6 linked regions of the Oryzias latipes genome follow. The protein of the gene in region 2 interacts with the protein of the main gene of each other region in a pairwise test. Links are inferred from orthologs where the notes say so. Each region holds a gene or a part of one and is shown on either strand. Other genes may lie near its edges.

Region 1 (5,559 bases), on a different chromosome or scaffold from region 2:
TTCTTCCGTGGTTTTAACGTGGTCATTCATGATACATCTGTGAAAATTTCACGTAAACAAACAAAATTTTTGTCATGTTCCACGTATATTCACGTACGTTCATTGTCATCCGTGCAATATTCACAAAATGTTTGTAAAGGATGTGTGACACGGCCTTTAGTGTTCGCTATGACCTGACGCCTGCACCGCGCCCATAGAAAAAATGTGCATGAACATTGTCGCTCTGCGAATTCACAGTCATCTATGATCTAAAAACCTCGTGTCATGTTGCCCATATTTTACTCGCCGTCAGCCCGTACCCACACATGGAGACAGTTGGGCATAAAGTGCTGCATATCGGTGCAAAGCTGATAGGAAAAGCTGCTTTTCTCTGTTCGTGTTGATCGCATAAATAATCAGAGTTATAGTATGTTAAAGAACGTGTGTTATTTAGGTGTCTCAGCATCTCTGCTGTTCAAGGGTTAAATCTGGGAGGAGGCAGCCTCATTCTGACACTGACTAATGGAAATAAAGCCCAAAGTGAGAGAACATGGACATATGCATAGAACTAGTGAGTAATTTTCCAGAACAGCAGGCTTGAGCCTAAATAATTTAATCATTATTTGGAAAACGCCATTTGCATTTACTGGAGCTGTTCAGTGGAAATAATTACATTTGTTTGATCATTTAGAATCATTTAGGTGTAAAATTAAAAAAATCAAGATAAGAGGCCAATCTGTTTTTTGTTTTTCACTTTTTATCCCTTTACTTTTTGCTAAGGGATAGGAAGCAAGAGACATTTCATTTTTGGTTTTACCTCAGACGGTGGATGTTTTCTTAATTTACAATTAAATCCTCTTTTTTTTTTTTACATAAATGCACTTAAATTTAACAGTAAATTAATTTTCATTTCCTATTTTGAGTTACTGGATAATGCAATTTAATGTATTTTTATTTGTTATTTTTAAGTTATAAATGTTTACAATGGGTTGTTTAAGGTATGATACAGACCAGGAAACACTTTTTGATATCATTGTACCTGTGACAATGACAAAGTTCTATCCTATTCTATTCTTACATAAATTGAGTTAACATAAAGTGGTGAACCTCCAGAAAGAAGCATTAAAGGTTCTGTACAGAACAGAAAAGATGTACAGAACTACAGTGAAGTAGTTCTGTACATCTGGAGGGACTCCCTCTGACAACCATCCGTTTTCCCTCCTCTGACAGGTTTCTGGGTTGACGGCTGCTTCCCAGAATCCCCTGAGCTCTTTGAGAACCTCAGCAGTCACTCTGGCACCGTGAAGCAGCTCTGGCAGAGCTCTGCAAATATCACTGGGATGCGCAGGCGTCTGCCAGACTGTAAATACCCACATTTTCTACCATAAATAAACCTCCTTTAGTATCAATTTTGCATACGCCAGCTCTTGATGTGGATAATTTCTGTTTTGCGTAAATTAATTCACATTATTTTACTAAAGTGAAGCATAAAGTCTTTCTGCTGGAACCCCCGTGATTCCATTTTTGTCCAAAAGTCTCTCTCTGACTGATGAATCACAAACTAACTTAAACTGAGTCCTCTTTTGTGACCTCTTGGATTCGTTCTCCGGGTCATTGTGATCCATCAATCAATCCTGAAAGGAGGTTCCAGGTCTTGGTTTTCATTAAGCTTCACTTTGTTTAACAGCGTCTATTAAAGTGGTTACATTATAACTATCATTTATCAAAGATATATTAAGGTGCTCGTTACTTTTTTTTTTGTTTGACAGATTGAGAGGCAGGAATAATCTTTTGTCATATTTGCATATTTTCAGCTTTTTGTTATTCTAATACAATTTTTTGATGATCATATTCATTTAAGTTTGAAAAATTAGTGCAAACACAGCGATGAAGCTTTTCACAAAAAATTAACACAAAACACCACAGCAGGGATGGATTTCAACAGCCTTTTCTAAAGCTACGTTCACACCGGCATCGGAAATGTGCGTCTAAGCAACCCCTTTCAGTAAAATTCTGTGGAAACCCTCCGGGCACAAAGCGCAACTATTACATCTTTGTCCTCCATTTTTCAAACGGTTTGCACTTCGATGTTTTCAAAAAGACACTATTCATACTTCACCACGAAAGCCAGGTCAAAGTTCAACTGGTTTAACTTTCGACAGTTCAATGGTGGCGCGTTTTGAGCTAAAAAAACGAACACATGTGCCGAAAGGTGCATGTATGTGCATATATATATATGTGCATACATATATATATATACATATATATATATATATATATATATATATATATATATATATATATATATATATACTTTTCATTGAAAGCAGTACCCCAGTGTTAAAGTAGCATCAGAGTCTGCATCCACAAAGTTGAAAGTCTAACAGGCACCGAATTTTGATGAAGGTACAATGATCCAGCCTTGTCTGATTCAAACCCTTTTAGTTGAAACAGAGAAGAAGTAGTGAACACTTTTGAGAACTGTGGCGTGAACGCTCGGATAGAAGGTAGAAATTACAGCCTATACGCTCTCCTGTTCTGCAGACCACTGCACAATTTCTGCTCGGACTCTTCAACGCTGAAGCCCCGTCATCACTGAGCATCAACTCACCAAGTCTTTAGATGTCCCGAGTCTTTTCAGCCCATCCAGGGGCAGGAGGTCAGCCGAGTCCTTGTGCGTGAACTGGGTCGCCTGTTTGAGACGCCTCTGCTGGTGCAGGATGGCTTTGTCTCGGATGGCCAGCTCACCTTTCTTGGCCTCGCTCATGGTTCTGGGTCGTACGGTTCTGTCCTCTCGGCGGTGTGAGGTTCCTGACAGCAGAGTCAACCGGCAGCTCCTGTGTCAGATGCTTCTCTCTGGGTCTCCACGGCTATCGACCTGCCTCGGGTGCTCCTCTCACGGAGACGTGCATCTTCCTCTCTGAAATCAGCGTTTGACGGAGGCTGTTCTCTCCCCTCCCCTCAGTGCCGCCTGTCCTTGGATCTCTCCGTCTCTCTATCACTTCTGTGCTTTTTTTCTTTCTTCTCCCTCCCCTCTGAGCCCGCCTCTTACTGTCACACGCTCGACAAACACATGCTCCCCTCGCTGGACGGAGGAAGACCACGGTTCCTCATGAAGATGCGAACAGCCTCTGATGTTTCCGTCAGTTTCTGAAGCCTGACACCTCAGTGCTGTGGCGGTGTGGCGGAGATCACCGCCATCTGACCTCACACGGAGGATCAATCTGCACTAATGATGGCAAACATAGATTTTTTCTGTGGCTGTCACTGTGAAGTTCAGCTTCCTTCATGCATGCATCTATACCACACCGAGCTATAAATATCTCATCCTTGTTGACCTCCACGTTACGACATGCTTTGGTGGGAGGAAGGATGCCGTCTGCAGGGTGGGAGGCTTTCTGATCCGCAGGAAAATGTCAGATCTAAATAAGAACACATCCATTTGAAGACTGGTTTTAGAAATATATTCATCTACAGAGGAAGTCCTTGCAAAGGTTAAGAGCCTACAGAGATGAGAGCCATTGAAAGGTGTGTGCTGCCCCCTAGTGGTTGCCTCATCTAAGCTTTTTCATGTTTCAGCATGAAGGCTGTTCCAGAAATTCCCATTTGATCATGGAGAAATAAATGAAATGAAATCAACAAATACGTTTTAGGAAATATTTATGTTAATCTCTAATATTTACTTCTAAATTTGGAAAAACATCTCTCCCTGTTTTTACACATATTTTACTACTTATTAGGTAAAAAGATTTTTGAAAACTTCCGTGATTCGCATCATTCAGCTTATTGATCATCGTTTTTATTTTGTTTAATGTTTCAAAGCTTTCCGAAAGAATTTGACAAACATAAAACAAAACACTGAAAATATGAACATTTTTTGTAAAAGGAAGTTTTCATTACTTGATTTAAGTCAACAAGGCTTCAACAAAGTTAACAAAAAAAATTTCCGTTTCAATGACACTAACTCACATTTTATATAATTAATAAATGGTGCTGTTTATTTATGCAAGGACAGGTTTACTCGGATCACAGAATCATAGATTATCAGATTACATTTTTTCCTTTTTTCATTTAAGACTTTAGAATCAGTTAATGAAACCACTCAGGAACTTGACATACAAAGAAATCTTTATTTTGTCATAGTTTCCAAAGACTTAACTCTTTTTCCTGGAAACAAAAACCCAAAACAAGTACATCATTTAAAAAAAAGTTTAAAAAAAAGAAAAGAAAAGAAAAACAGAACAGATTTAGTCAATTGTAATAATTCTTTTTTTGAGTTGTTTAGAGTGAGGCAGCAGAAGGCACGTGCATCTTTCAGTTCATGGAAGAGTGCCGTCTAGTGTTTCTGAAACCGTGCAGCGAGCACACAGTGCCCCGTTTGGCGGCATCAAACCAAGGCCACGGCTGTCCGCTGTGTGCACGACCACAAATGCAGCCACTCAAAGGTTTGAGGTGAAATCTGGACCGACGCACTCGTCTGTGTCTGTAGTGTAAACATCAGGAAAATGCTGAGAGAGACCACATTTAAAACTCTGCATGAAGAAATATGAAGCTTGTTCCTGCAAAGATGGAACTGCATGATGGGAAACGGTTTTCAGAGGGTGCATTTATATTCTTATAACTGTGTTAACAGATCAGAGGCACTTCTTTTTTTTTTTGGCTCCGATAGTTTTGAGGCACATAGGTTGACTTGGTCTCCTCCAATCCTGTGTTAGAGCTCAGGTCTCCGCCCCCCCCCCCCCCTCCAACAGTCATAGCACATTGGGGAGGTAAAGCGAGCACAGCAGCGTGTTCTGCCCGAGAGCAGGAAAGCGCCTGAAGGCCTCCCAGGCGTCTGAGAAAATGTTGTACTTGAGGAAGACGCGGTGCTCCAAACTGGTGAGCGGGCTCACATCCCGGCTCATCATGTAGATGCCGTCGTTGTGCAGCGCGCAGGTCAGGTTCAGACCCGACTTGGACGTGTTCTCCTTGAGCTGGAGCCACTCCCCGGTGGTCACGTTGTAGGAATGCACCGTCAGGACGTCCTCGGTCTGGCTCGGGCGGCGCCGGCACCAACCCGTCTGCAGCTCGTGGGTGTAACCGCCCACAAGGTAGATGGTGTCCTCCACCGACAGCATCTGCTGCTTGCGAATGTGGACCGAACAGGACCGGAACACGGCCCAGGAGTCGGAGGTGGGGCAGTAACGGAGAACGCTGGTGTTTCTGTCTGTCAGATCCAAACGGAGAGCATAACTAAAAAAAAACATCCACAGGTTTCATTTCTGACACTTTCGTCTGAAGCTTCGACATTTCAAACGGTTTATTAAAAAATTTGAGACACTTTTTATTCTCTGACTTTTAATCATCCTCATTTTTAAACCTAAAGATGCTCTTTTAAACTAAAATTGGCAGGAGTTTTAATTTAAAAAGAACTTCATCCCTTATTTGTAAAACTCATCAAATCTAATAGTTGTGCCTCTGTGATGACTGTTGTAGCCACAAAAGTATTTAACTTTCCTGTTTGGTACGCCAGGGGGTGGGGGGGTCACTTAATCCAATTCTCATTTACATTCCATTAACAGGAAGCAAACCACATTTTGG
Region 2 (5,464 bases):
ATCATTCATAACTGAAAAGAGACATGGGGAGGAAAAATGAGCTGCCACGCGCCTTTACGCGACATAAAATAACAGTCATCTTTTACCTCAAGATGTTTATATATGTTAAAACCAAGAAACACATGAAGAAGAAAATGGTAATTTTTTTATAAAAACCAAAATGATTATTAAGAAGTTATAAATGTACATTCAGAAGAAAATGTTTTTATGACTTGTGTGCATGAACATTACCTCCCCTGTCATTTTAGAGAAACTTCCACTTGTTTTTTAGTTTTGCTTTTTATTAGGGGGCGGGGTTTGGCAATTTAACTGCAGTTCATTGACTGCCGTTCATTGACTGACTTGAACAACTTCTTTTTTTCTTTAATCTATTCTAAATGCGCTGCTGTGCCTCAGACCACAGTCCACTATAAAGTTCATCAAAACTACTTAAAATTTCAAAAATGTTCTTTAGATGTCACTTGGGCATGCTTTCTTAAACAAAGTTTCATTTGCTACTAGAAAAACTTTTTCTTGCAAGACAAGAAAGAATAGGTTGCTGCCTTCACCTCTCAATGAGAAGGCTCTGGTTCAAATCCAAACTGGGTCCTTTCTGTGAAGAGTTTGCATGTTTTCCCTGTGCATGTGTGGATTTTCTCCAGGCAATCGACCTTCATCCATAGACGCGCTTCATCGGTCACATCCCAAGGTGCGACTCGGTGTGTGTGTAATTGTGTGGCCCTGCAGGGTGTACCCTACCCTTGCCCAAAATGACCCAGTTTAGGCTCCGGGAGCCCCGAGACCCCAAAAAAGATAGAGTAGGTTAAGAAAATGGATGGAAAGACAGAAAATAAGACACATTTTTCAGGAAAGAAGGGTCTTTTTCACTTCCTTAAGACTCCGTTTTTGCTGTTTAAAACAAAATGCAGTTAACAAACAGATCTTTGCATTTGACTTTAAAAAATAAACAGAACTTTAAGACTACATTCATTGAAGTGGACTCTGGTCTCATTTACACAACGATAAATTCTTGTGTTTAATTTTTCAAAAAGTGGGGCATTATTTGTCTTTTGTTAAAGAAATCTTCAGAGCTTTCCACAATTGTAACTTGCAAAAATTCCTTTCATAGAGGGAATGTGTGCTCCTGGCAACCATACCATTTCAAACAGGCTTGTTGGAAAGGATAACAGGAAGCGACCCTTGTAAGCCACTGTTTTTGTTTCCTGTAGGACTGAACTTTAAGAAAAAGTATCACCGATTGAAACCTGTACATTCCAGAGCATCAAGAGTGGCTTTGTGCATCCACACCAAACTGGACAAGGTCTTTATTGTATGATTTTGAGCCTTAGCGCTTTTGACTAATAACTACACAGCCTGAAAAAAGCTTGATTACCTTATTGGGCCAAATCAAATACTTGCAGAGATTATTGCCAATGCATTTAATATTGGGCCTTTTTCCACACATATTGCAAACTCCATAATTGAGGAAACAAATCAAATTTAACTGGTTTTCAAGCAAATCCTATTAGCTTAATACCAGTTATGAAATTGTGTTTGACAACAGTTGTACATAAATGCTTTGAAGTCAATGCATGTGTTGAGTATGCAATTATAATGAGTTCTATGACATTTTTAAAGCATTTAAGTTTGAGGATTTATTACATGTTCATCACTAGCAAGTTAAACATAGAATGGCACACTTTCTGCTTCATGTGACTAAACTGCAGCTAAAATTCAAAATCTGCTTTTCATGTGTCATATAGTCATGAAACATAGTTTTGGAAACGGTTCTTGATAAAAATTACTGTTTTTAAATGATAAGTCCAAAAAATGAGTGGACATTTAAACTTCCCCAAATTTCATAAATAAATACAATAGTTAATATTTGCTGAAGTGTTTTCACGTTTAGGAACATTTTTATTGTGGTACTCGTTTCTTTTAACCTATTTACGCATTATTTATGGTCAAAATACTTATAATTCTTGTTTTGTTTTGTTTTCCCAAGTCCTTTATATCTAAAATGTTTCCCCAATACCATAAATCTGTGTCATAATTAAAAGCCTGCAAAGGCGAGAGTAGTTAAAAGTATTTTATTTTCCTGATTCAACTAATTTTAAAACAGTGTATATGAATTAAAGTCCAATGTAAATGACAGTATTGGAAGATTGTTTGTTTTTCCAATAAATGGTTATTTTAAAGTAAAAATTTAATTAAAACACAATTTTATGTTTATGTAAAACAATTATCACTAAGGCTAATGACCACCTTCTAAACAAAGCATGTGTGCTTGGCATTGCTGTATTTTTCTTTACAAGCTGTGGCTAAATGGCATAACAGTTAAACTCAAGTCTCCCCATTTAATTTTTTAATTAAATCAAAATACAAATAGATTTGTTTACGTCACTTTTAGCAAATACTAATTTGGATGTATAATTTAATCAAATGTACTTTTTTTGTATATGGATTGGGGCAAAAGTAGATCAGACTGGCAATTTTATGACATTAGTTGATGCACTTTGAGAAATACTTTCACATTCATACACATGTCAATGTATGAATTTGTTTCAAAGCAATTAAGATGTGATAGTTTAAAAAAAACGACCAGAAATGCCTTACTATTTGTAAACTGGTGGTTTATCTTAATAATGATAAAGCCAGACTTTGTTCAAGCCTTCTACCTTTCATTCCACTAAATATATTTCATCTTTGCCTTGCTAGTAACGATGCAGTTATTTAACTGTATGCTATCAGTATCAGTAAATGGGAGGAGATTTAAATTAATGAACTAAACAATTGAAGGAACATAGGTCCTGATAGATGTTGATTATTGTTTTTCAGGAAAAGTACAGTTTATTACAACTGCATGAGATCACAGCTGTGCATTATAACAAGTTTCGATTAGCACAGAGCAGTGATGTACTGGCAATGGCTAAAGTTAGCACAATCCGATTTGAGAGCTAAGCAACGCAAACAGAGCGCTATTTCAGCTAGCTTAGTCGTTAGCATGCTAGTTAGGCCTACAGGCCGCTGAAACGCAACGAAGTATTTGCTAAAACGTAAAAAATTAAAATAAAATGAAAGATGATTTTGACTTGGATTCGTAGACCATTGCTCACACACGTCAATTGCACGGTGTAAGAGTGGGCTTATATTACCGTGTGAATGACGAATTCTCGTGTTGTTTCTAGAGATTCCGATAACGGCGTCGTTCCTCGCGAGAGATGAGCTCGTGCCTTCCTGTGCTCCTCCGCCGACTGGCTGCGACCGCCGAGACAGCCTGTAGGGGGAACGTGCCGACTCTTCATTAGATATGAGATCAGCGTCAGGGTGTAAAGTTTTCTTTTAGAAAAACACTTTGACACTTTGCTCAAAACTACCGACCGCCTTAAAATCTTATGATTAAAGAAATGCTCCTTTATATGAGCGGATGTTTACTGAACTATCAAATTTAAGTTTGTTTTTAGGATTACTTCCTCACAAACTAAAAAATAAACAAAGGATCCTGCACATGGATGTCTTTCGTTATTTTTTAAGCCAACGATTTGAGCAGAAAAATCAACGCTACCAGCAATATCTCGTGTAACAACTGCAGGGGGAAACTATTTAAAGAACAAAGTATAAAACTGTTATCAGCTGAACAATTTCGAGATAGTTTCAGATACTCTGTGTTCTGATTTGAACAGTGAGGGAAAATAGAGAAAATGACACACCATCAACATTTAAGACAACACACAAATTATTTAAAAAGAAATTATACAAATATTATATATATATATATGCAGATCTTTATATATTAAAGATCTGCAAAACCAGTCATTTAAAAACATTTTTTTAATTTAATTGTTAGAGAGACACTCTTGTTGCCATGTTTGTGATTCAACGTGTGTTAATACACGTTTGTTCTTTATCCATGTTTTGTTTATGTATTTTATTTATTAATTTATTTAGGTGTTGTATGAAGCCCTTCAGTCCTGCATTAGCCAAATTGTAATCAAGTGAAGGAGGCCGTATTTGTAAATAGTTGAATTGATGAATCCATTTATTTTTCTACAATCCAACCAGATCAATCTGTCTGAGGCAATTTGGTAACTGAATCAATATACCATCATAAACTTTTTTCAAAATGAAATAAATTGATTATATTGATATTGGGAAATACCATTTGGATTGAGGCACAGAAGGTTTATTTTACTATAACATAAAAACGACCAAATGCCATCACAGCAGGCAACACACGGGAAGGCACCAAAACAGGATCAAGACATCAAGCTATTGCTTCTTCACTTCAATGTATTGAAACCCCCCTTTGAATTTTGCAAAGACACGTGATCATATGGCATAATGTTCTAATCATTTTCTTTCCTTTTGGACTTTTCCCTTCAGGGGTCGCCACAGCAAATCACCTTCCTCCCTCTAACCCTGTCTTCTGCATCCTCTACTCTAACACCAAAAACTGTCACGTTTTCGTTCACTGCATCCACCTCTTGCCTGGCAGCTCTAGACTCATCATCCTTCCATCAATATACTTACTCACTGCCTCTCTTCTGGACACTATGGTCCAAACCATCTCAGTTAGGTCTCTCGACTTGATCTCTAAAACCTTTAACATGTGCTGTCCCTCAGATGTACTCATTCCTTATCTAATCCATCCTGTTCACTCCCAAGAAAAACCTCAGCATCTTCATTTCTGCAACCTCCAGCCCTTTTCCTGTCTTTTCCTCAGTGCCACTTTCCTTTGATTTGAGCTGAAACTCTTCTATCATATGAGGTTCCATTTGTGCCAAAAATATGTTTTTGTGTCCACTGTCTATGTCTTTGGTCCCTTGTCTATGTCTACTGAACGAGTTCATTGACCTTTGGTTCATGCGTTATGTTTAAAACTTTGCATTTGTCTTTCGTCGTCAGAAAAGTCCTTTGTACGGTCGGTTAATTGTTTCCTGTACTACCACGGAACGAAACAAAAAAAAGGTTTATTAAAGCCGGCGCTAGCGTTAACCATGACAAACACGTTTTCTTTAAATACATTTTATTGATATTCCTGCAAACGCACGTTGCCAGAAAAATATGAGGTTCCATTTGTGCCAAAAACATGTTTTTGTGCCCACTGTCTATGTCTTTGGTCCAATTGAACCTCATACTATCACACATTACACCTGGTACTTTTTCCCACCCATTCCAACCTGGCTGCACTCGCTTCTTCACTTCTTTTCCACACTGTCCATTACTCTGTACTGTTGACTCTGGATGCTTAAAATGCTCCATCTCCTTCTTTATCTCTTCTTCCTATAACCTCACTCTTTCTCTTGGGTCCCTCTCATTTATGCACAGGTACTCCGTCTTTCTGTGGCTAACCTTCCATCCTCTCCTTTCCAGGGCAAACCTCCATCTATCTAGCTTCTCCTCCGCCTCTTTGCTGCTCTCGCTAAAAATCACAATATCGTCTGCAAACACCACTGTCCATGGTGATTCCTGTCTAACATCATCT
Region 3 (5,010 bases), on a different chromosome or scaffold from region 2:
CTGCACCCTGGATACCACCTAAGTCACTTTTGCAAACTAACGGAGGAAAATTAATTATAGAATTTTTCACTGTTTACTAATTGCAATACAGTAAAACACATGTTCATAAAAATATTTTTTGCTCACTATTTCTATGGGAAGTTTAGACAATGATTTAGTGCAAGGATCAGGAACCCTATAGCTTGTGAGCCAATTATGTCTTTTTAGTGCTAGCATAAAGCTTATATAGGACCTTAAACTTTTTATATTTAATAAGTTGAAATCTAAATTCGTGAACTATACATGTAAAATTTCCATTTCTGTGAATGCATCATATGCTGAGCATTAGCAGTATACCATACATGACGCGAGGCTCCATGGACTGAGTACCAGCACTGTCACATTTTGTAAAAAAAAAAGAAATTGCACATTATTTTATGTGAACAGTAATCGCTGACCAATCGGCCACTGAAATAATCGTTAGTGACAGCCGTACTATGAATGAAGCCTAAAGTTAATACACAGTCTAAATATATATACAAATCCTGTGTAGAAAAAACTGCTACTTTAATAAATGTACTTTATTTTACTTTATCCAAGTAAAATAGTTGTTTGGAAATTTAGGGGCTCATATTTTATTTTGTTCTCAGGTTGAATGAATTATTTTCTCTTGAATTCAATTAAAAAATAAAAACTTAAACAGTCATATCTAAAAGGCCAGAATTCGACAATCAAATAAAGCCTTTTTAACCATTCGTTTCCATGGTTACCTTGCTGCTTGTTCTCACAGCAGGAGCCCCTCTGACCAAAGGCAATATTTCTTTAGACCCCTTTTCCAAACCTCTTACCAACATATGAGATTAGCACATTTTAGTGGGTACATGCAGATAAGAGCACATTTCTCATAGCACACAACAGTATACTTTTAAATGTGGTCCTATCCACGCAGACAATCTCTCATAGGTTTAATGAGAGCCAGATGAGAGGCTCATGGAACAAACCCGTTCAGATAACTGACCTCATTTCATTCAAACATCTCATCTCTGCTTTGGGCCTTAAGTCCGGCTGCTTTTGCTGGATTACCGTGCAGCTGGACGGAGAAGAGAAAGACGAGCAGGCCATGGGAGCGCCGCGAGGAAGAACGAAAGAATGGAGGGATGAATGCACAAAAATTAGTGGAGAGGAATGGAAGCGAAAAGAAATCCAAAGAAGTGACTTTTGAGATCAATACTGTGAAGAAATGCAACCCAAAGGTTGAGAAAGAAATTCAAAGATAAAATTATGGATGGGGAATGGAGAGTTATTTGTTTCAGAACAAAAGAAAAGGGCATTGGTGGTCTTATCTTTTAAGTGGGACAATAACAGATCAATGACAAAGCACAGGAATGAATTGAAACCCGTACTATCCTCTGCATGTTTAACACCCAGTACAGCAAGGCCAAAGTAAATCAGAAATCACACATGTTAAGAGAAAAAGAACAGACAAAACTCAAGAAAAGTTCAGTCTGAAGTCTGCTTTTGGCTGCAGTCTCCTCCTTTGGGAACTTTATTACACCCTCTTTTGAATCCATCTCCTAGTTGTTAGAATCCAGAGACAAAGGGTCGTGGCCTGGATGTAGTTGGGGAAACAGAGGCCAGAGTGGGGTCGAGGCAGTGTCACAAGGGGATCTCCTCAGATTAAGCCTTTGAGCACTTTACAAGGTAGATGAAAGCACCAAGAAAGTCTTTTATTTTGAAAAAAAAAAAAACCTGATGAATGCGTTTAGAACATCAGAAAAACAGGAGTGATGGCTTAGAGCTGCACTTCACTGTGTGATTTATTTAATACTCTCATTTGTTTAATAAGTCAGTAACATGTTTCACACTGTCACCCTTTTCCTCTCTTTTTTGCTTGTTACGTTTCTTTGTAGAAGTTTTATCTACTCTTAATTGCGTTTCATTTGACAATGGACAAAAATAAGTATTTTACTGCTTTTTAAACCTTGACTTAAGGCAAAGACTTAAACAAGGAATCTTTATAAAGTGTTGTATATCTAAAGATCCCCTCAAAGAATCCTTTGAATCCTCCACTCCAATCCAACCAAAAATAAATCCTCCCACTTGACTTTTGTTTGTCTTCAAACAACTTTTGAATAAACCCATGACTTGTGCTCAGCAAAACATTACCCACATTCAAAGACTTACTTAAAAGCCAAAAACAAACTAAAGTCACTACCGCTTAAACACCATTAAGGGGGTTGACAGGTACGAGTGCTGCATGTTTTGGGTTGTCCAGACCCATGCAGGCATGTGGACAGGAGCGGCTTTGTCTTCAGGGGTGCGCAGATGTGTCTCGGTGTTCCCTTGAAGCTCGTGTGCCCACCTCATAAGACATTGCGTAACCCTTGTGCTATCCTAGACACTTTAACATTGGGAGTTGGGTCATCTAGACCCACTAGACAGTGCGCTATACCTTTTTTCTTCAATGATTTGTGATCTTCACTGGTTTCCATGGATTACATGAAATCTTTCCACCTTTGTCATGGTAGGGAGAACACATCAATGTAAGGTGGGGTCATCTAAGATAGCACAAGGGTTAAATGGAACGTGTGATTGTCGTGTGTGTGGTGAGTGTATTGTGACATGTTTGTAAGGATGGTGTAAGTCACCTGCACTTATGACGTACGGGGGAAGCTGTTGTACGGTGTCCTTAAGCCACACTCGACTGGACAGTTAGGACCGCACACTGGCTCCTTGCTGACCACATGCAAGTGCTGGACGCATGAGGTGTGATCTGCACGTGATGTGACAGTAAGATGCCCACACAAAACTACGCTCCGATTGTCTGATTTCTTCATTTCTAACAGCCAGGTTGCACACATGGAACGTGCACTTATCACTAAAATGGGCCTAATGAGCTCCCTGCACAGCGTGTAGGATTCAGGTGTGTGTGTGTGTGTGTGTGGTCAAATAAAGAAAAATCCATACAATGTGCCATACTGTACAGCTGTTGTTTCAATGTTTGGAACAACGTGTGCTTGTACATTTTTGCTCTGTGGATTCACTGAGCGGTCCAAGACCTTGCAGTTTTCTACAGCCCACCTGTGTGCCCTTTACAGATTTGCCCATTTTTTACCTGCAGACACCCCATATCCACCTGTAAGGGCAGTTGTGACAATGGCACTATAGGGATGCATATGTTCTGGGATTCTGTCCATCAATCAACAGAATTGATTGACATAAAGTTCTGCAATGGTGACTTTCGCAAAATGTAATTGTTGATGGAAGATTTACATATTTTCTTACATTTATATATTCTCCAGCTGTAATTTCTTTTGATGGGATAATTTTGACACACACAAAAAAAACAGACATTTTTTTGCACAAATAGGGGTAGGCCTTTGTTTAGCATTAAAACATAAACTTGAGCTAAATTTTTGCTTTTCTATGGGTAGATTTACATCAAACTGGAATATACATATATGTGTGTGAGAAAAATTCATATTTTAGTCAAACAGTAGAAGTAGGGATATGAATGTACAATCACAAAAGTAAAGAAGGGGGCTTATTAAATTTTAAAATGCTAAGCTGTTAGTTAAACAAGTATTATTATCCATTCATTTTATTTTTTATTTTTTCGCTTTCCCCCTGTAATACCCTCTCTTTTATTACATGCACCTGATATTTGTGTTCAACATCTTATTTAGACACAAATGTATTTATGCACTCTTTAGAGGCTACTGCTGTTAAGAAACTTAAGAGGACAAACAAAAAACAAAAATAAAAGACAGACACTCAGACAGAGGTGGACTACCTGGTGAGGTTCGAATGCTGAGGCTGCGCGTGAAGTCATCTTTGAGCGCATAGACAACAGCCGCCATCTCCTCTTTCAATTCTTCAAGGTCGATGATATCTTCCACCAAAGCAGATTTAATGTTCACTTTAGCCGAGGGACCCTTTGCCTTATCTTTGAAAATAAAGGAAAGGTAAAAGAAAATGAACATCAATCAGAGTTTCTTGCTAACTGAAGTATGCAAGTGCAACCTGTTTCTAGATGACGGACCTTTTTTGGTGCCGTAGAACCTGCATGCAGCAGCAGGGAGATGGACGGTGCCAGTGCAGGCTGAAGGTCTGACATTGACCACGGCGGTGACCACGAGACGAGATCGGGAGATCAGGGAGCGGCACAGGAGAGGCTGCAGCAGCCTCAGATGATTCAACGCCATGTCTGTAAAAACAACATCACAGATATGATTGTCTGAGCTGGCATCTGACTCAAAACTGTACGGCTGTAAAGCTCCGAGATTGCTCGTCCTTTTTACTGCAACGGTAATGTTAGGGTTGGGATGTGAGGGGCTCTAAGCTAGTGGGAGAGCTTGCAAACAGATGGATGATGGGAAGTAGGGGTATGCTTATTTTATGCCAACAGTCCCACCACAACTTTGAGACGAATTTCTAATGAACTCCTGCTGCTCTGCAGAAACTGTCCTCGAAAATGACAAATATCTTTACATAAAAACAGCCTAAACACCATTAAAAGGCCAATGGGAGCACATCTGGGGGATGATCGGAGAAGGAATTTAAATACTAAAAACACTCCCTTTATTGCCTTGGCTCTATACCTGGGAACAGTAACACAACACATGCGGTCTGCAGCAGACCAATATTTAATGAGAATATTGCTGGTGGGAGGAAAGAAGGCCTTGACAAGAAAGTGGTTACAACCTGATGCTCCAACAGTAGATGATTGGTATAAAACAATACATGACATTTATGTTATGGAAAGACTGACTTTTGCAATAAAGATGCAAACAGATAAAGGTTTGAGATGGTGGGCAAAATGGGTCAAATATATTGGACCTCTTAGACCAGACCTTCTTTAATTCTAACAAAAAAAAATACTTCTCTATTACAAGATAACAGATAATGTGGGTTTATTTTATTGACTCATCTTTTTTGGATAAGAGTGTGATTGACAGCTGCTCTGTTTGTTTTTTTTGTTGTTTTTTTGTTTTTTTTCTGTTCATATAAAAAAGAGGGGAAGAGTACAAA
Region 4 (5,010 bases), on a different chromosome or scaffold from region 2:
GCTGCAAGGCGGTTAATGAGGAGGCGACATCTAAGATGGTACTGATAAGTGTTTTTGACAAACAGATTGTTGGAAAAAAATAATAATAATAATGGATTGGATTTATCTGCACTTTTCCAGTTGCTCAAAGTTCTTACAATGTGTCCATTATTCATTCACTCCTCATTGGTGATGTAACTACTGATGTGGCCACAGCTGCCCTGGGGCAGACTGACAGAGGCATGGCTGCCATTACGCTGACCATCACCGGGACATTTATACACATTCACACACCAGTGGAACCACACTGGAGGTAGGGAGGGTGAAGTGTCTTTCCCAAAGACACAACGACAGCTGACTGGGGGGAGCGGGGATCCTTCCGATCCTTCGATCATCGGCCGACCTGCCACTGCCCAAACAGTTTAAAGTTGTCTCAATGAGCCTGCATTCATCCAATTACATTTCAGCGAGTTGCTGTTGCATTGTTGCTCCAAGTATATCTGCGGCTCTCTGCTGACATCACATGACGACCGGCTATGGTGGCCGTTTGGTTCAATTGTTCCTCTCAGAGAACGGATTGTACTCAGACTGAGGAATCTCAGAGCCAACCAAAACTCAAAACAACAGGTCACTGTAAGGATGAGCTGCACAGCGGCCAAGTCTACCAACACCCAGAACTTATAGCAGACTTGAGTCTGAACTTCATCAGCCTGCTGATGGAAAGATTCATCAAAACCTGCAACTTGATGTTACCGTTTAAGCCCAAAAGAAAGTGCAGGTATATTGAGGTCCCAAATGCCTCTTTTGTGCATATCCTGGACTAAAGTCAACCTGAAACCCATTGGAATGAAGTGAGAGACTGGCCTCAGTTACAGGATGATAAAGCCACAGGTTGGGGGAGCTCATGTATGAAAAAGGCAGAAAAGGAAAGGTTTGAAGAAACATGGAAACAAACTTTGATGCTATTGCCACAGACCAGAAAACATCAACAGCGTCTGAAAGTCAGACCATCTGTGTTGTGGATGTTCAGCAGCAGACACCCACCTTTCCTCGACACAGAAAAGCCATCAACGTGCACCACTGCTCCTGCTTGCCCGTTCCTCCTCCAAGCATCGGAGCCCTCTCGTGGGCCAGCAGGCTGACGAAGCGGGCAGCGTGGCGCGAGCTCTCCAGGAGGCGGCCAGCCCGGAGGACACGCACATAAGAGCAGACGGGTCGGTTTACGCCGTTCTCGTCCTGCAGACACACAACAGAAGCATAGGGCTAAACGTTCTGGAAAAGAACTGAAGCAAACAGAACATAAAAAGCAGCAGATATCGGTAATTTCTAGAATCATGCATCATGATTTGAACCAATCTCCTCCCCAAAAAAATGTTTCCAGATACAAAAGGAAGTCTGATGATGATCTGATGATCACAGCAAGTGAATTATCAGTTAATGACATTGCAGCTGTAATTTTTTTTTAATAACATCTTTTTTTTAAAATATCTCAGAACTAACCTGTGCAAATATTTTGACCAGCTTGGACTGATGAGACGCCCGAATCTCCAGGAACTCTCGCCACCATTGTTTAGCATAAACCAAGAAGAGCCTGTCCTTCTCTGCCGTCCTCGTCCTCTCCAGTGACTGCTGCAGGACAATCACACACGGGTCACAGAAACACAATACCTTCCAGCTTCTTTTGGTTGATACAAATATCCGATATTTAAACCTTTGTTTTGATTTATTGAAGAGAAACACCAGAATAAACCAACAAAAAGCAAACACTTCTACATCAGGACTTGGCAAAAAAAACATTAAACAAAATGAGAGAGCGAGTCGTTTAAATAAACTCCATTTATTCTTCTGGCTTCCAGCAGTTTCTATCCCGTCAGGGTTTTCACTAAGTTACTTTAGGGTGCCTTCATTAAGAATCAGAGTTTGGTGATTCAACGGATGGTTTCAGAAACTTGATTTCAGAAATGCTGCTGACCTGTGTGCTGATGACATCTGCACTTAGATTCACAGCTGGAGGAGGGTACAGCTCCAGGTTGACTGTCAGAACACCAGCTGGCACTTTGCATTCACTTCCTGTGGTTCAAGAAATTATTAGTACAGCATAAGCGTTTATAAGACAAAAAAAAAACTTGTTTTACTTTTGGAATCTACTTGAAGAAAGATCCCCTCCTCCACCTTTTAAGGTTTCTTTTTACCGCGTGTTTAAGCATCTCTGGTTCAAAATCCAAATATAAATACAAGAAAAATGTCACTTTAAAACATCCATAAAAAGGCAGACGTATGCATTTGACTGGTGCTATAATCTACGGATGTGTATTGCCAAGAGTCTGATCATACTATACGTATCCCGACGTTCTACCAGAACACTTCTTTTTTATTTTTATTTTTTTTGGGGGTATCACTTAGAAAAAACTACCTGAATATTAATGTCTTCCATAGTGATGAAATGGTAAAAATCCATTTTATTTAATGATCACAATGTTAAGCACTGCAACTGTATCTCAAATTCACACTGCTTTTGTTTTGGTAAGTTAAAATATAGAAAAGGAACAGTATACTTTGTCTGATTTCCACAAAAAAATATATTTCAGTATAAGAAAAAAAAAAGAATGAATGTGCCTTAACTAATAAGGTTCTAAAAGTATGATTGACGAAATAAAGTGATGTTTATTTCCAATATTGGTAAATGTAGCTTCTCCAGTACTTTTCAATGGTTTAGGAGCCTGAACGGTGCTTCAAGAATAAAGGGGAAAAACATCAATAAAGTGTTATGATGATGATGCAGCAGCATGACAGATGAAGGAGATGCTTTCATGTGGCAAAGATGCTTTATTTCCATGACAGTCTGCTCTGCAGCTGCAGCTCAGCTTTCTCGCACACCATCGCCATGACGTTGGCCTTGTTTCAGAGCGTTGTACACATCACTCTGATCCATCAGGTCGCTGGACTACAATCTATTGCTGGGAGGTTCTGCAGAACTTTAACCCGCTTTGCTGAGAGTGTTTTGACTGATGCTCCGTGCATTAGTCTCTGCACAGCCTGGGCCTGGTTAACTGTACAATGACACTTGGTCATCCAAGTTATTAAAAACAACCTTTTCTGTTTATCCATTTTTTTAAACCAAAATTGGCCCCCAGTCTAATGCAGAGTTCTTCATTTGGCCCTCCGCTACAAAAACTTTGAGAAACCCTGGTTTAAAGGGTCTGTATCCAGCAGAATCAACTTTTTAAGCTTTTAAATGTATAATAATGTTCATTCCTCACAAAAAACAACCCCAAAGCAGTATTGTGATCCGTTCACACATCTCTGAGTATTCCTCTAAAAACCTGCGTTCTGAGCCCCAGCCCCTCCCAATCCACAAAAATGGGTGGACCCTCACATTGCAGCATTACAAAGTGAGGAACAGCCCCTTCCAGGAAGAGTCTGCGGTGCCAACCCACCCCCACGCTAACACACACACCCTCATTCAGCAGCTAGCAGAGCTTGGAGATCTGGAAAACAGACAGGGTGGTAGAGCTAAAGGACCAGGAATGAGCAGCCCTGCTCCACAATATGAACATCCATCTTTGCAAAAGTTCAGATGTTGTTTGTTTTTGTGGGTGAAAGGCAGACATGCTGCCGAGGATGATGTCATGAAATGGGCGGCACCCACAAGGACAGAAAGGCGGAGCCGCAGAGATCGAGACGTTTTACTTCCAGGTAGGAAAATGACCTACAAAATTAACTCATTTAAAAATAAATTCATTCTTTAGTGTGCCAAAGGTAATATATTATTTAAAAGTAGGGGTTGCTTATCCGACCATAACAATCAGGGTGGCTTACCAACTCCCATTAACTCCACAGCAAAACAAGTCTTGCTGTTTGTTGAGCTGAGAACTGGCCTCCAATCCAGGAAATAGGACGACACCAGCGTCGTCTCACCAGAAATGTCCGTCTTGATCAGGACAAAGTGGATAGGGTCGCATATAGACAGCATAGAGGCTGCATCCATCACTTTACCTCCATCTTTAACAAGAAAAGAAGTCATGATTAGGTTCAAGGAGGAGATGTATTTTTTAAGCCTGGAACCTAAGTTCAAGCTCATCTTCACTAACCTCTAAACAGTTACTTTCCTCCTACCTGCATTGTCCCTGCAGAGTTCCAGGAGGAAGTTTTCCCTCATGTCTGGTTCACAGGTACAGGGCACAGGCTTAGATCCAAACCTCTGGTCGCGGAAATGTAGGTAGAGTGTAAACGTAGAAGACACCTGACCAGGTAACGGCTGTGGTTCCTGCAGGTGCTCCAGAAAGGCCTTCCCACCAAGAACTTGGAGATGCAGGTACTGCCTTGATGGGTCTACGTTGATTTGCAAGAAGTAAGAAAAATTAAAACAAGTATGACACAAACACGACACTGTGCACCGCATCATAATTTCTCTTACTCTGTCTCAGCTCGGTCATTTCTTTGTCACCATAATGACTGAAAGGCTTAGATGGAAATCCTGATGCTGTTTTTGTTGCTTTTTCCTACAAAGGCAGGCAGTTAGTGATAGAGTTCCTCAGTCTTTTCTGAATAGAGACAGCTCTCTTCGTTTCTAACATGTGATCTGTCAGTGAGAGGCGAGAACACCTGGCTGAAACGGAGGTCTTTCATCACATCATCTATTATGCCTCTGCGCTGTAGAGCACGTCTGAAATCCTCCTCCGACAAACGTCCAGAGCCGGGATCCACCCTTGCAGTCTCCGCCAGCACCTCTTGGATTTTCCCGTGGATGTTCATCTGAGGAACAGAAATAAAAGGTTGTGTTAGAAGTTCCTCGAACTTAACCTCAGCAGGGAAGAGGAACAGACAGTTTGAACAGACAGCAGTTAGACCAAGCATGGGGACTGTGCCTTAAAAATCTACGCCAATCATCTTTTGCTCTATTGTAAAATTGTTTCCAGTGGTATTTTAATCTTGTTAGGACATAGTTTCTGCAGAGCGGCAGGAGTTCATTAGAAATTCACCTCCAAGTTGTGGGCAGGACTGCTGGTGTGGAGTGAGCCTGCCATCATT
Region 5 (5,010 bases), on a different chromosome or scaffold from region 2:
CATCAGTCTGTCTGCATGTGCCTGCAGCGCCGTCAGCATGCCGCCATCAGGTCACAGAGTCTGAACTGCTTTCTGCCCTAAACCATCACACGTGTGTTTTACGTAAAGTCTGGACTTCTTGTCTTTAAACTGTTTCTTTCGCTCTGCTGCATCAACGCAAGAGAGCCTCTATTAGAGACAATGCCCTCCCCCTCCCCAAACTTAAAAACCCCACCAGCCCATTAAAGAACTAATCAAGTCCTGAATCCCACGAGGACGACACCATCTCTACTTCACGGACGGGCTTTCAAATCCAAATAGACGTCAGCTTAACGATGATCCTCTGTGATCAAAGCAGCGTTTGAGCGCCTGCAGACGAGCCAGACTATCTCTTAAGCTCCGAGATGAGGTCCTTGGGGGGTGTTCACCCGCCTGAAAACCCTGTATGTGACCACCTCTCAGCAAACCCTCCTCTGGCCACAAAATCCATACCTCTCCCCTCGCGTGATGTTGCCATGGAAACTAGGATAATCATGGAGCAACAGGAGCATTTCTGGTGTTCTGATTGGATTTTAGGTTCAAAATCACAGACTAGCATAGGACTTCTAAGGTCTATGAGTGATTCTTATTATCCTTCATCACTCTCTAAACTTCCCAGTGGGCACTTGGAGCAGCTCTCACCCACCAACAAACCAGATGATGGCAGCCTGGACACATATGAGTGAGGAGATGCACGCCAATAAGAACAGCGTCAAAGGAAGCCATCCAGGTTTCCTGCCTCGAGGCGGACTTTTGTCACCCCCCCCCCTCCCATGCGCTCCCTGGATGCTTATCAGCACTTCCTCTATCTCTTGAGCTTTTGTTAAAGCAGAAAGTCTTTATGGCACCAATAAGCAAACCGATCTTTGAGGAGGAGACCAAACAAGGAGCAGAGGTAGGAGACCAGGGGTCAGAGAGGGGGGGGTCTGGAGGGAGCAGACAGGACCGGCTGTCATTGTCATCGCCTCAGTTAAAAAAAGAAAGAAGGGTGGCCAGATAGCCTAGAATTACACACCTTTCAAAGCTGCAGACCCCCCCCCCATCCCCATCTCTCCAAAAGGGGAGGAGTATCTCTCTGTGCATCCAGAGAGTGGAGCTCAGAGGGGGGGGGGCTGTTACATCAAACCCAACAAGCTGAGAGGCGGCGAGTGCCAAACCTCAGATACCTCTGTGTGCTAGAACCTCTGCCAGGAAGAAAAATAAGCAGGCGGGGGCCAACGTGTGACCTGGAGGACCCAAGAGCATCACGTCACAAAAGAAACCAGTTTTTGAGGGAGGGAGGGAGGGAGGGAGGGAGGGAGGGAGGGAGGGAGGGAGGGAGCACTGTGGGTCCGGTAATGGGACTCAGAAATCAAATCAAGAAACTTAAAAAACAGTGAGCAGAGAAGCTCAGAAAAGTCAGAAATGTCTGGATGGAAAAAAGAACCATCATTTCCTTCCTGGAGATCAGATGAGCTCATGCTCTTTGAATGTTGCATCTTGGGCAATCAAGATGAGGCGCTCCTGCCAGAAAATGGAAAGTTTGTCATGCACCTCCCTTTTTACAACTTCAGTACGTAGATGATTGGCCCTGCTACCGCCGTGACGAAAGGCTGTTTGGACATTAGGTGTACGGGTTACCACGTGACTTCATTCATCTCCTGAAGGCTGATCAGCAGGAAACACACCTGCTGACAGCATGATGATGTCAGCATCAATAGATCATCATGCCTCCATAATTAGTTTTAGAGCTGACTCAGGGAATAGCAAAAAAAAAATCATTTTTTCTGCACCAGGTGAGGCAGATAAACATCTGGATTGGAAAATTCCACATATTATTTACTTTGTAGCCAAAATTTAATGTTAGTCTTTTTATTCATTTACATCTGAGCCAGTTTCCTGTAAAATTTGACAACACTATTGCCTCAAAGCAAGCTCTAAACAGGAAGAAAATACAAAAAAAGCGACTTGTCCTCTGACCAGCATACAAATAAGAGCCTGCAGCATCTCGCTACACCAGTAGAGATTACACAGTAGAGATTTTTAAACTTTTCTATGACTCCTGATTCTTCAGATTCACACTGTCGTTGTTTTTTGTGTCCTCCAAAGACACAAAAATGTCTCTCTTTGGTTCAGTGGAAAGTCTGCTTGCATGAACCAGAGACGTTCGAAGGACTCAAACCAGGAGTCTAGCATGATGCATTCATAGATCAAAAGCTTGAACCAGTTTAACATTTAAATTCTTTAAGGAAAGTGACATCTTTACACAGGAACTCTGGGAAATTGGAGTTTCCTTGCAAGGTTCTCAGGATTGAAGAAGCCTGAGTAGAGAGAGGGGGCTCTGCTTCACCAAACTAAACAGATCTGCTGTTTGCTTTTCCACAGCTGCCGCTCACATTTGCTGCCTCTCTGCAGCTCAGACTCGCTCTGCAGCGCACAGGGCGCCAACGCACCACCACCGGAAACGCCGCTGTGGTGAGTGTTGGCCCACAGCTTCTGCCTGGTCACAACTCCACCTCCCTTTATGGCCAATGCAGAGAGGGAGGCTACGCCCACTATGTTTGTTTGCCCACTTTATGCAAAAAAAATTCCAAGTTTCAGCAAAAAAAGCAAAAGAATTTTAGGTTCTGTCCTACCTTGTTGGGTGTGTTCTCGCCGCAGAGACCCCCTCGCGGTGGGACCTGGTAGACACTCTGCTGCTCTTGTGGGACCTGGTAGACATTTTGCTGCTCTGGTGGGACCTGGTAGAGCCCCTGGGCCCCTGCCCCACCTCTCTGCTGGTGGCCCTGAGGGGGAGACGGAGTGGCTGACGACGGGGCCTCAAACATGGGTCCGATGAGTAGCTTCAGGCGGTTTCCGGGGGCAATGCCCTGGCGGCCGTGCAGGGAGCAGAGCCACCAACCCTCAAGTCCCCCTGTGTTCTGCTCAATGACAGTCAAGATGTCCCCCTTCCGGAAGGCCAGCTCCTCAGGGGACTCCGGCACGTTGTCGTACAGCGCTTTGGCCATCAGATTCTGCAGAAAGGGGGAGGGGCTTAGTTTTTGATGCAGTTTACAGACTTGGATCACAGCCCGAGGGCAGCTCAGCATTCTCAGTGAACATGTGACTGGCTGCTGAGATAATCACCACAATCTGCAGATACCATGATGATAACTCTGGAGCCACCATCATGAATTCTCCTTCTTCGGCTCATTTCATGCACGCTCCATTTACCACCATTAGGACATAATTGACTAGCTCAAGGGTACATCAACATGAGGAGCAGGAAAGTGATCTTTCAGCAAACAACCAACGACTCTGCAGCAGCATCGACGCTAAACCGACACCCGCCTCTCCACAGAGGTCTTCATGGTAGAAAAATCCAAGGTGAGGTGACGGATGCAGATGAAACTGCTCACTTTTAATCCCCAGCAGCTGTAATCTCTCAGATGGATTAAAGTCCAGCATAAACAAACTGCAGAAAAACAGAAATGTAATTCCATTATAGACTCAATGCCTGTTCTACTTAGTGCACAGACCTGCTCATACGATTGAACCTCTGACACAGACACTGAACAATTGTTTGTGTTTCCTCAAAATCCTGCCATGTTTGTCTTTTGTTAACCTTTGGATTTATGTTGGCTGACTATACAGCACCTGACAGGAAAACTGGATACACCTGATCTATTTCAGAAAATACTGCAACTAAATTCAAGGTGGAGACTGTGCCGACTCTCTCTGTCCAACCTCCTGCCAGTACGAACTAGGAGAACTTGCCCTGCTGATAGTTTTACAACAAATTCATTGTTTGATGAAAAAGTGCCAAAATCAGGAGACCGGTTCTTTGGTTTGACATTCGGTTAAAAACATTAAAACAAGACTCAAGAAACTTATAAGAAAGTTTGGATCCATAAACATAAAACACATCAACGTCATCTGGAAAGACAGTTTGATGGTTTATAAGAAAATGTTGGTTCACATTTTCCTATGGATTAAGACTCATCGTTGTGTTGGTTTGAGGGTTCATGTAGAACCTAGAATCCCAAACTCAAGTCTAGATTGAGACTCATACTTCTGTTGGTTCAGATTCATGTAGATTCAGACTTATAGTTCTGTAGCCCATGGGTCCGTGGGTTCGTCTGTGTCTCTCGACAATCTAGATCAGGGAAGGGCAACTCCAGGCCTTGAGGGCCGCATTTCTGCACGTTTTCCAACAAACCTTGCTCTTGCATGTTCCAATTGGCTGGACACACCAGGTACCAGTCATAAGTAGGGGATCGGATATCTTGAAATTATGCAGATACACTGGCCCTCGAGACCTTGAGTTGCCCATCCCTGATCTAGATTGAGACTCTTAGTTTTTTCGTCTATTGGTAAGTGGCGTCCCTCTAATTGGTAAATGGCGTATGCATCCACCCACACAAATTTACAACACTGATTTACACTACACTGCCGAACACTGGCAATGCTGGGTTCAGTGTCTTGCCCAGGAACACTTGGACACATGGGTGGGGTAGGCGAGAACCGAACCTGTGATATTCCAATGAGAGGTCAACCGCTCTACCTCTGCACCGCAGCCATCTCTAGACTGAGAATCATAATTCTGTCTGTCCATGTGTTCCTCTAGAAGTAAGGTTTGAAGACTTCACAAGTTTCTTCATAATTGAAATCTATCAGAATAATCAAATGAATTTATGTGAAGCTCATTGGCTGATGACAGTCAGCTCTCGCCTGGAGGAGGTCTAACTGAAGAGGGAAAGTAACTGCACAGGATGCCATGTTGTGTTGAATCTGAGGACCGTGGATAAATCCCAGAGGAAACAGATCTGCTCTCTGTGGTTCCGTTTTTTATAGGACCACTCAGGTACACAGGGATCCTCTCGGTTTTACAGCGTCTGCAGACACGGAGCTGCAGGCCTCAGAGCTGATGATATCTGAGAGCTCAGTAAAGTTGTAAACACGACCTTTAGCAGCGAGCAGGCTGTTAGCTGTAATAACAGCCATGAAACTCGCTATCAGAAGATCATTACGCAC
Region 6 (5,452 bases), on a different chromosome or scaffold from region 2:
AGATAAAAAATATATATATATTTTCCAATTTAAATGGAAAATTCTGTCTAAAAGCAACATTGTAACAGTGAATGTACCTTTATTGAGAGAGCGTAAAGGTGATTTAGCATGACGTGGTTGGGTTCAGGCAGCAGAGCAGGGTCACACTGAAGTGCAGAGACCAAAAAAAAACACAAAGATTATTGTTCAGAGAAACAACAGCAACATGGAAGCAGACGGAATTGACAGTAAAAGGATGAATCACTGAGAAAACGTAAAACACTGACTGATATGTTGGTGTCCTTGTTAAGAATGACTTGAAGCAGGTGAGGGGGGAGAATCGGAGGGGCTTTGAAGTGCTTTTCGGGTCTGAAGATGTACTGCTCTTGTCCGTACGGACCTGGAGGCGAGCTGGACAAGTCTGGAGACATGAAGATGTGTTCAAGGCCGAAAATGTACCAATCTATTTAGGCGAGCAGCAAGAGAACAAGATCTATCACAGGAGACGCACCTGATGTGTCCGAGCACTCCAGGGAGTCCACCTGCAGCGCGTCAAACACCTCAAAGTCAGACTTCTTCACCTGGATCAGGTTGTTGATCGTTCCCAGCTGGCTGGTTACCACCGGCTGCAAAACAGCAACGATCCTGAAGTTAATCATCTAACATGTCAAACATTAACACCTTAAAAAAAAACACAACTGCTATGACAAGCACCAAATGCTAAATGAAGAGACCAAACACACAAATTAACTTTATTTATAAAGCACTTTTCATTCTACAGTGAAACAAAGTGCTTTACAGACTTAACCCCCTGACGGCCCAATTTATTCCCAACAATTTCACTAATGCTTGTGCTTTTTAAGTTGATGCTAGATTAAGGTAAGTTTGAAGCAGAAGTTGTTTAATGAATATTTGCATGAATAAGGGGTAAAAAAAAACAATTAAAAATGAAATTATAAAACATACAGAACCATCCTGTCCAATCTGTTTTAGATGGGTTAGTTGACAAGTTTTGACCAATGCCAAGCTTAAAATCTGTTCTTACTGACTTATACTCCAAGAAAACATTTCCTATTGCTTCAACCATGTTACTTCATATTCAGTTAAGATGACTTGTTGCCAGCAAATTAGCTTGTTAACGCTTTCAGTTAATCCTTTAGGTTTTGATGTTGACTGCAACCCAGAAACCAGCAGAGCTCAAACTTTTTTCCACAAAAACTACAAGCACAGAAAAATGACTCGGGTACCTCTGAAGGATCATGAACCCACTGTCCATCCACGAAAAACTTATACTGGTGCTCTCCTTCAGGCAGGTCCAAAATGGCAACAAAGTCATTATGGCTTTGAGGAGGGAAAGAAAAAGCAAACAATATTAAAACGATGACAAAACTTCAAAACACATTCGACACCAGTATAACTGATGTAAAACCAACGGTTTACCTTTTATTCAGTGGAATCTTAGTGTTCCAGTTATTGAAAGAGCCTGCGATATAAACCTCCTTCCCCCCACCACCCCAGCGAATCACTGTGGGACGGGCCTGGGAGGCAGTTTTCACCAGGTCATCCAGATCCGGGGTGAATTCTTTATCTCCTAGCCCCTAACAGCAAACATAAATATTTATAATATGAAAGAAATGAGATTATATAGTGAAGTAGTTGGATTCCTACTTTAGACTCAGGTCCATAGGTGTTGAAGATGTTGGGATCATCTGTGCTGTCCACCATCTTGGTGCTGTGCTCCTGGTCTTTGTGGCTGCCGCTGCTGTCGGAACGATGGGCCTTGTTTCCATGCCGATCTCCAGATACCCTGTCACTTGTGTTACCCATGATGCTTCACTGCTTACTGTGCAAAATATAGGGGGGAGAAACTCTTGAAGTGGGAACTAAACCATTATTTATAACACTTTTATGACAAATGTTCATTCATGTTTGCATTGAGGATATTTATTATTCATATTTATCAGATGCTTTCTATTATTTTCTGCTTTCATAGAGGATTTTTGTCGTCTTTTCAAACAGTTTACAATGTAAGTCTTTTCTGAAAAACTTGTTTTTCACTGAGCAGATTAATGCCAAAAAACAAACTTGAAACTATTCTGTAAACACAGTTTCACTCGGTTTCTTAAGGGCATGTAAATGCATCTGGTGACAGTTTTTCCTCTCCTTATTTTTCCTTTTTCAGTTATTAATTTGAACCAAGTAAAGAGCCAGACTGACTTCAACTCCCTTGCTAAAAAAAAAGTGAACTCTGTAAAGATGATCTGATTTAAGCGAACTCTAGGATAACTTTTGTTTCATATTACTAAGAAATTACAAGAAAGTAATGTTAGGCAAAAATTGCTTAAGTACCAAAGTAAGCTTTTTAAAAAATATTGTATCATAAAACATTGATAAGATTGGTTTAAGTTAACGACATGCAACTATTCTATAATAATCATAGTAAAATGTACTTTTTACTAAAAACCTAAAAGAGAATACAACTTCTAATTGAATTTTGATCACATGATGGTGCTTGTTTTCACAAGCATCACCTTTTACGTCCCCACAGAGACACTGATCCCCCCTCCCCCTACATAGAAATGAGCAGTATAAACCTTTCACACTATAATCAAGTCCATCACTTCAAATTAGTTTACAAGCTAAGATGTCTTAATTTTAAAGGATAAAATAGTAGGAGGTTTCAGTGAACAACATAGATAAACGATCAAATTAAAAAAGAAAAAACTAAAAGCTCAGGGCACAAAAGCTTCTATTTACTACAAAGGCGCAGGTGTTTGCTGAACACTGTAGACTGGTGGGTTCACCGTGACACTGCTGGATTCATGGAACACTGATCAGCCTTGGCTTTAGTCAACAAACAGCAAATCCTATTTCGCTTTATGTCACATTGTGTGACATTCACATATGTCACACTCTGGTTTTACAGAAAATAAACTAAAATTGTGTTACTCGTGAGAGTTAAAGTTATAGCTATAAAAAACATCAAATCATCAGTTGTGATTGTTGTTTTTTTCTTCTTAGAACTAAGGATGATCCAGAGTCATATTTAAAAATAAATCAATCAAAAAACAAAACAGCCTAATGATGTGGAAAACAACGATACGTTTATCTTTAGATTATAAAGAAAATAAAAATATTCACAACAGCTAACCTACCCACGTTTAGAAGGTATTTTTAGCATCATGAACTATCAGTGAACTTCCCTGGACACAGATGGGTCCCTTCGAAAATCTGCTTTAACTACAACCGAATGACTTGCGAATCAATAAAAAGCTTAGTTCGTATGACAAAACACACTATTTGTAACCTACCGTGGTAACTGCGCAGGACGCTTTTGCTGTGCCCGCCTACCTCGCGACTGTCCTGGTGAATATTTTTAGCTGCTGGTCGCTGTTAAAGTCAGCTAGCAGCTAGCTAGCTGTCACTCTGCTTTCGAACCGGGAACTCCTTTCACTGTGTAAATAACAACTAAAACAATTTAACTAATTTGATAGAGTACTTGTTGTTGTTTTTAGTCATTTAAAAGAACCGAAAAGGGTTAGAAGCTCGGCCTATCGCTGCTGAGGCGATGATTTGTGTTGAAGAGCAGCAGGAAAGTCTGTGACACCAGCGAAGATCCTCCCCTTTTTACAACTACGGCGGTCGGTAAAGGAAAAAAAGCAGTCAGCCGCGACAAAAACAACATCCGGTAAACAAACAAACAAAAAAAAAAACATTTTTATGAAATTTTACAAATACTTAAATAAATGTAATTAATTCTTTATTTGGTGTCGTGTCTCTTCTTAATAGTGGTTGTAGTAAAATTATCCAAATAATGTACAATTTAGTCAATGTAATTTTTTTTTACAAATAAAATGAAATGAAATTAAAAGACATTTTTATACTATAAAATGTAACATATAGATGTATCAAGTATACTATTTATTTAATAAAAAAAAGATTTACCCTAATTTGCATAAAAAAATACAAATTATTGTGTTACTTAAGTCATTTAATGACGTTAATGCAATGAGCATAAGTGTTTCTCATTCATTTTAATATGTATTGTTGTCTATGTGTACTCTCGATTCAAAGTGATTAATTATTTAGGGGGGTTGTAATTACTTAATTTAATACACTGTATTTTAGGTAAAACAGCTGAGTTGACATCCCTGGCATTTTTCATTCTATCATAGCTTTTTTTCCATCAAGGTAAACAAAATGATTTAAATGACATTGTGGAAATGATAAGGTGTGATTCCCCCCCCCCTCCCCAGCAATTTGTTACTACAATATCAGCTCACCTATCACATCACAACTGCTTTGGTTGCGGGTGTTTATAAAATGTTTTAAAAAGTTTAAGTTACAACATTAACTGAGAAATTGAATTTTGTTTATTTTTTAGTGAGCGTATTTCTGTCCAGGGCTGTACTGTGGCGGTGAGTGCTCTTAGTTCACAGCGAGAAGGTCCTTGTCCAAATACCAGCTGGGACCTTTCTGTGTGGGTTTTCTCCAGGCACCCTGGCTTCATGCTAAAGTCCGAAAATATGCTTTATAGGTTAATTGGTGAGTCTAAAGTGTCCCTTAGTGTAGCTATGAGTGTGTGGCTCCATTACCGACTGGCAACCAGTCCAGGGTGTACCCCACCTTCGCCCAACAGCTGGGACAGGCTCTGGGGACTCTGTGACCCCGAAAGGGATACAGCAGGTTAAGAACATCAATGGATTTATGTCCAAACACTTTTATTCTGTCACTCATTTTTAAATTTTAACGAAAGACCATATTTCTGATGTTCATTTTTGATATTCATGAATTTATTTGCCTAAATTTTTTACATGCTTTAATATAAAAGAAAAAAAATTGATACATGACAGTATTATCCCCTGATATGTTTTTCATGATGCTATTTTCTTACTTTTATTTTTTAAAAGCCTCCTTTCCTTAAAAGACCAGACAGCCCTGATTGGTCAACATTTGCTGTAAAGCAGTTACTAATTGAGGCGTTTTCAACCTGATTCATATGGGCGAAGAAAAAAAAGGGGAAAAAATACATAAATTGTTTCTTTTAGCATTAAAGCCTTGCAGACTTAAAATCACCAAAATGGATAGTTCTGTATAATCTTTTTAACAGGACTAAACTGCAAAGCAAAGTACTTTAAATCCTTACAGCCTTAAGATATATAATTACAGGATTTCCTAAGATAATTTAAACCAAATAACTTATTTTTTTAGAATTTCATGGGGACTGTTTAATCAATAAAAGGTCAAATTTACTAATTGCAATGGAAAAAGTTCCAATACCTAAAATCTGACAACATCAAGAGCAAATCATAAATATGCATAACAACTAAAGCCAAAGCAGTCAAACTCTTTAAATATTCATAAATGCATTTTTTAACAAAACATAAAAGGCTAATAACAGTCTTATAGTAAAAATTTAAGAAAAAAGAAAACCTCCCACCTTTTAGCTTTAACATTTAAACACAGCACCAAC

The links.
Region 1: the proteins of banp (region 2) and nrip2 interact in binary tests that used the Homo sapiens proteins (3 or more experiments, as listed by UniProt). The two-hybrid records come from large-scale screens. The link is inferred for Oryzias latipes from reciprocal best matches to the Homo sapiens genes BANP and NRIP2.
Region 3: the proteins of banp (region 2) and mrrf interact in binary tests that used the Homo sapiens proteins (3 or more experiments, as listed by UniProt). The two-hybrid records come from large-scale screens. The link is inferred for Oryzias latipes from reciprocal best matches to the Homo sapiens genes BANP and MRRF.
Region 4: the proteins of banp (region 2) and cep76 interact in binary tests that used the Homo sapiens proteins (3 or more experiments, as listed by UniProt). The two-hybrid records come from large-scale screens. The link is inferred for Oryzias latipes from reciprocal best matches to the Homo sapiens genes BANP and CEP76.
Region 5: the proteins of banp (region 2) and nedd9 interact in binary tests that used the Homo sapiens proteins (3 or more experiments, as listed by UniProt). The two-hybrid records come from large-scale screens. The link is inferred for Oryzias latipes from reciprocal best matches to the Homo sapiens genes BANP and NEDD9.
Region 6: the proteins of banp (region 2) and 5'-AMP-activated protein kinase subunit beta-2 interact in binary tests that used the Homo sapiens proteins (3 or more experiments, as listed by UniProt). The link is inferred for Oryzias latipes from reciprocal best matches to the Homo sapiens genes BANP and PRKAB2.

Annotation. Positions count from the first base shown.
Region 1 is NC_019881.2:20,307,103-20,312,661, forward strand, and holds the start of nrip2 (nuclear receptor-interacting protein 2), read right to left. Parts: upstream 3,216-5,559; 5' UTR 2,747-3,215; coding exon 2,591-2,746; intron 1-2,590. Other genes in the region: klhl42 (kelch-like protein 42), read right to left, coding at 4,731-5,185. UniProt on the Homo sapiens protein: Down-regulates transcriptional activation by nuclear receptors such as NR1F2.
Region 2 is NC_019864.2:22,009,762-22,015,225, forward strand, and holds the start of banp (protein BANP), read right to left. Parts: upstream 3,616-5,464; 5' UTR 3,135-3,615; intron 12-3,134; 5' UTR 6-11; coding exon 1-5. UniProt on the Homo sapiens protein: Controls V(D)J recombination during T-cell development by repressing T-cell receptor (TCR) beta enhancer function. Binds to scaffold/matrix attachment region beta (S/MARbeta), an ATC-rich DNA sequence located upstream of the TCR beta enhancer.
Region 3 is NC_019870.2:15,211,131-15,216,140, reverse strand, and holds part of mrrf (ribosome-recycling factor, mitochondrial), read right to left. Parts: intron 4,187-5,010; 5' UTR 4,185-4,186; coding exon 4,022-4,184; intron 3,926-4,021; coding exon 3,773-3,925; intron 1-3,772. UniProt on the Homo sapiens protein: Responsible for the disassembly of ribosomes from messenger RNA at the termination of mitochondrial protein biosynthesis. Acts in collaboration with GFM2. Promotes mitochondrial ribosome recycling by dissolution of intersubunit contacts.
Region 4 is NC_019874.2:5,540,232-5,545,241, reverse strand, and holds part of cep76 (centrosomal protein of 76 kDa), read right to left. Parts: intron 4,735-5,010; coding exon 4,585-4,734; intron 4,482-4,584; coding exon 4,397-4,481; intron 4,312-4,396; coding exon 4,096-4,311; intron 3,982-4,095; coding exon 3,799-3,981; intron 2,050-3,798; coding exon 1,952-2,049; intron 1,609-1,951; coding exon 1,480-1,608; intron 1,216-1,479; coding exon 1,024-1,215; intron 1-1,023. UniProt on the Homo sapiens protein: Centrosomal protein involved in regulation of centriole duplication. Required to limit centriole duplication to once per cell cycle by preventing centriole reduplication.
Region 5 is NC_019869.2:19,396,986-19,401,995, forward strand, and holds part of nedd9 (enhancer of filamentation 1), read right to left. Parts: intron 3,012-5,010; coding exon 2,634-3,011; intron 1-2,633. UniProt on the Homo sapiens protein: Scaffolding protein which plays a central coordinating role for tyrosine-kinase-based signaling related to cell adhesion. As a focal adhesion protein, plays a role in embryonic fibroblast migration.
Region 6 is NC_019875.2:22,986,973-22,992,424, forward strand, and holds the start of 5'-AMP-activated protein kinase subunit beta-2, read right to left. Parts: upstream 3,613-5,452; 5' UTR 3,291-3,612; intron 1,823-3,290; 5' UTR 1,807-1,822; coding exon 1,648-1,806; intron 1,578-1,647; coding exon 1,420-1,577; intron 1,321-1,419; coding exon 1,227-1,320; intron 606-1,226; coding exon 491-605; intron 401-490; coding exon 267-400; intron 147-266; coding exon 78-146; intron 1-77. UniProt on the Homo sapiens protein: Non-catalytic subunit of AMP-activated protein kinase (AMPK), an energy sensor protein kinase that plays a key role in regulating cellular energy metabolism.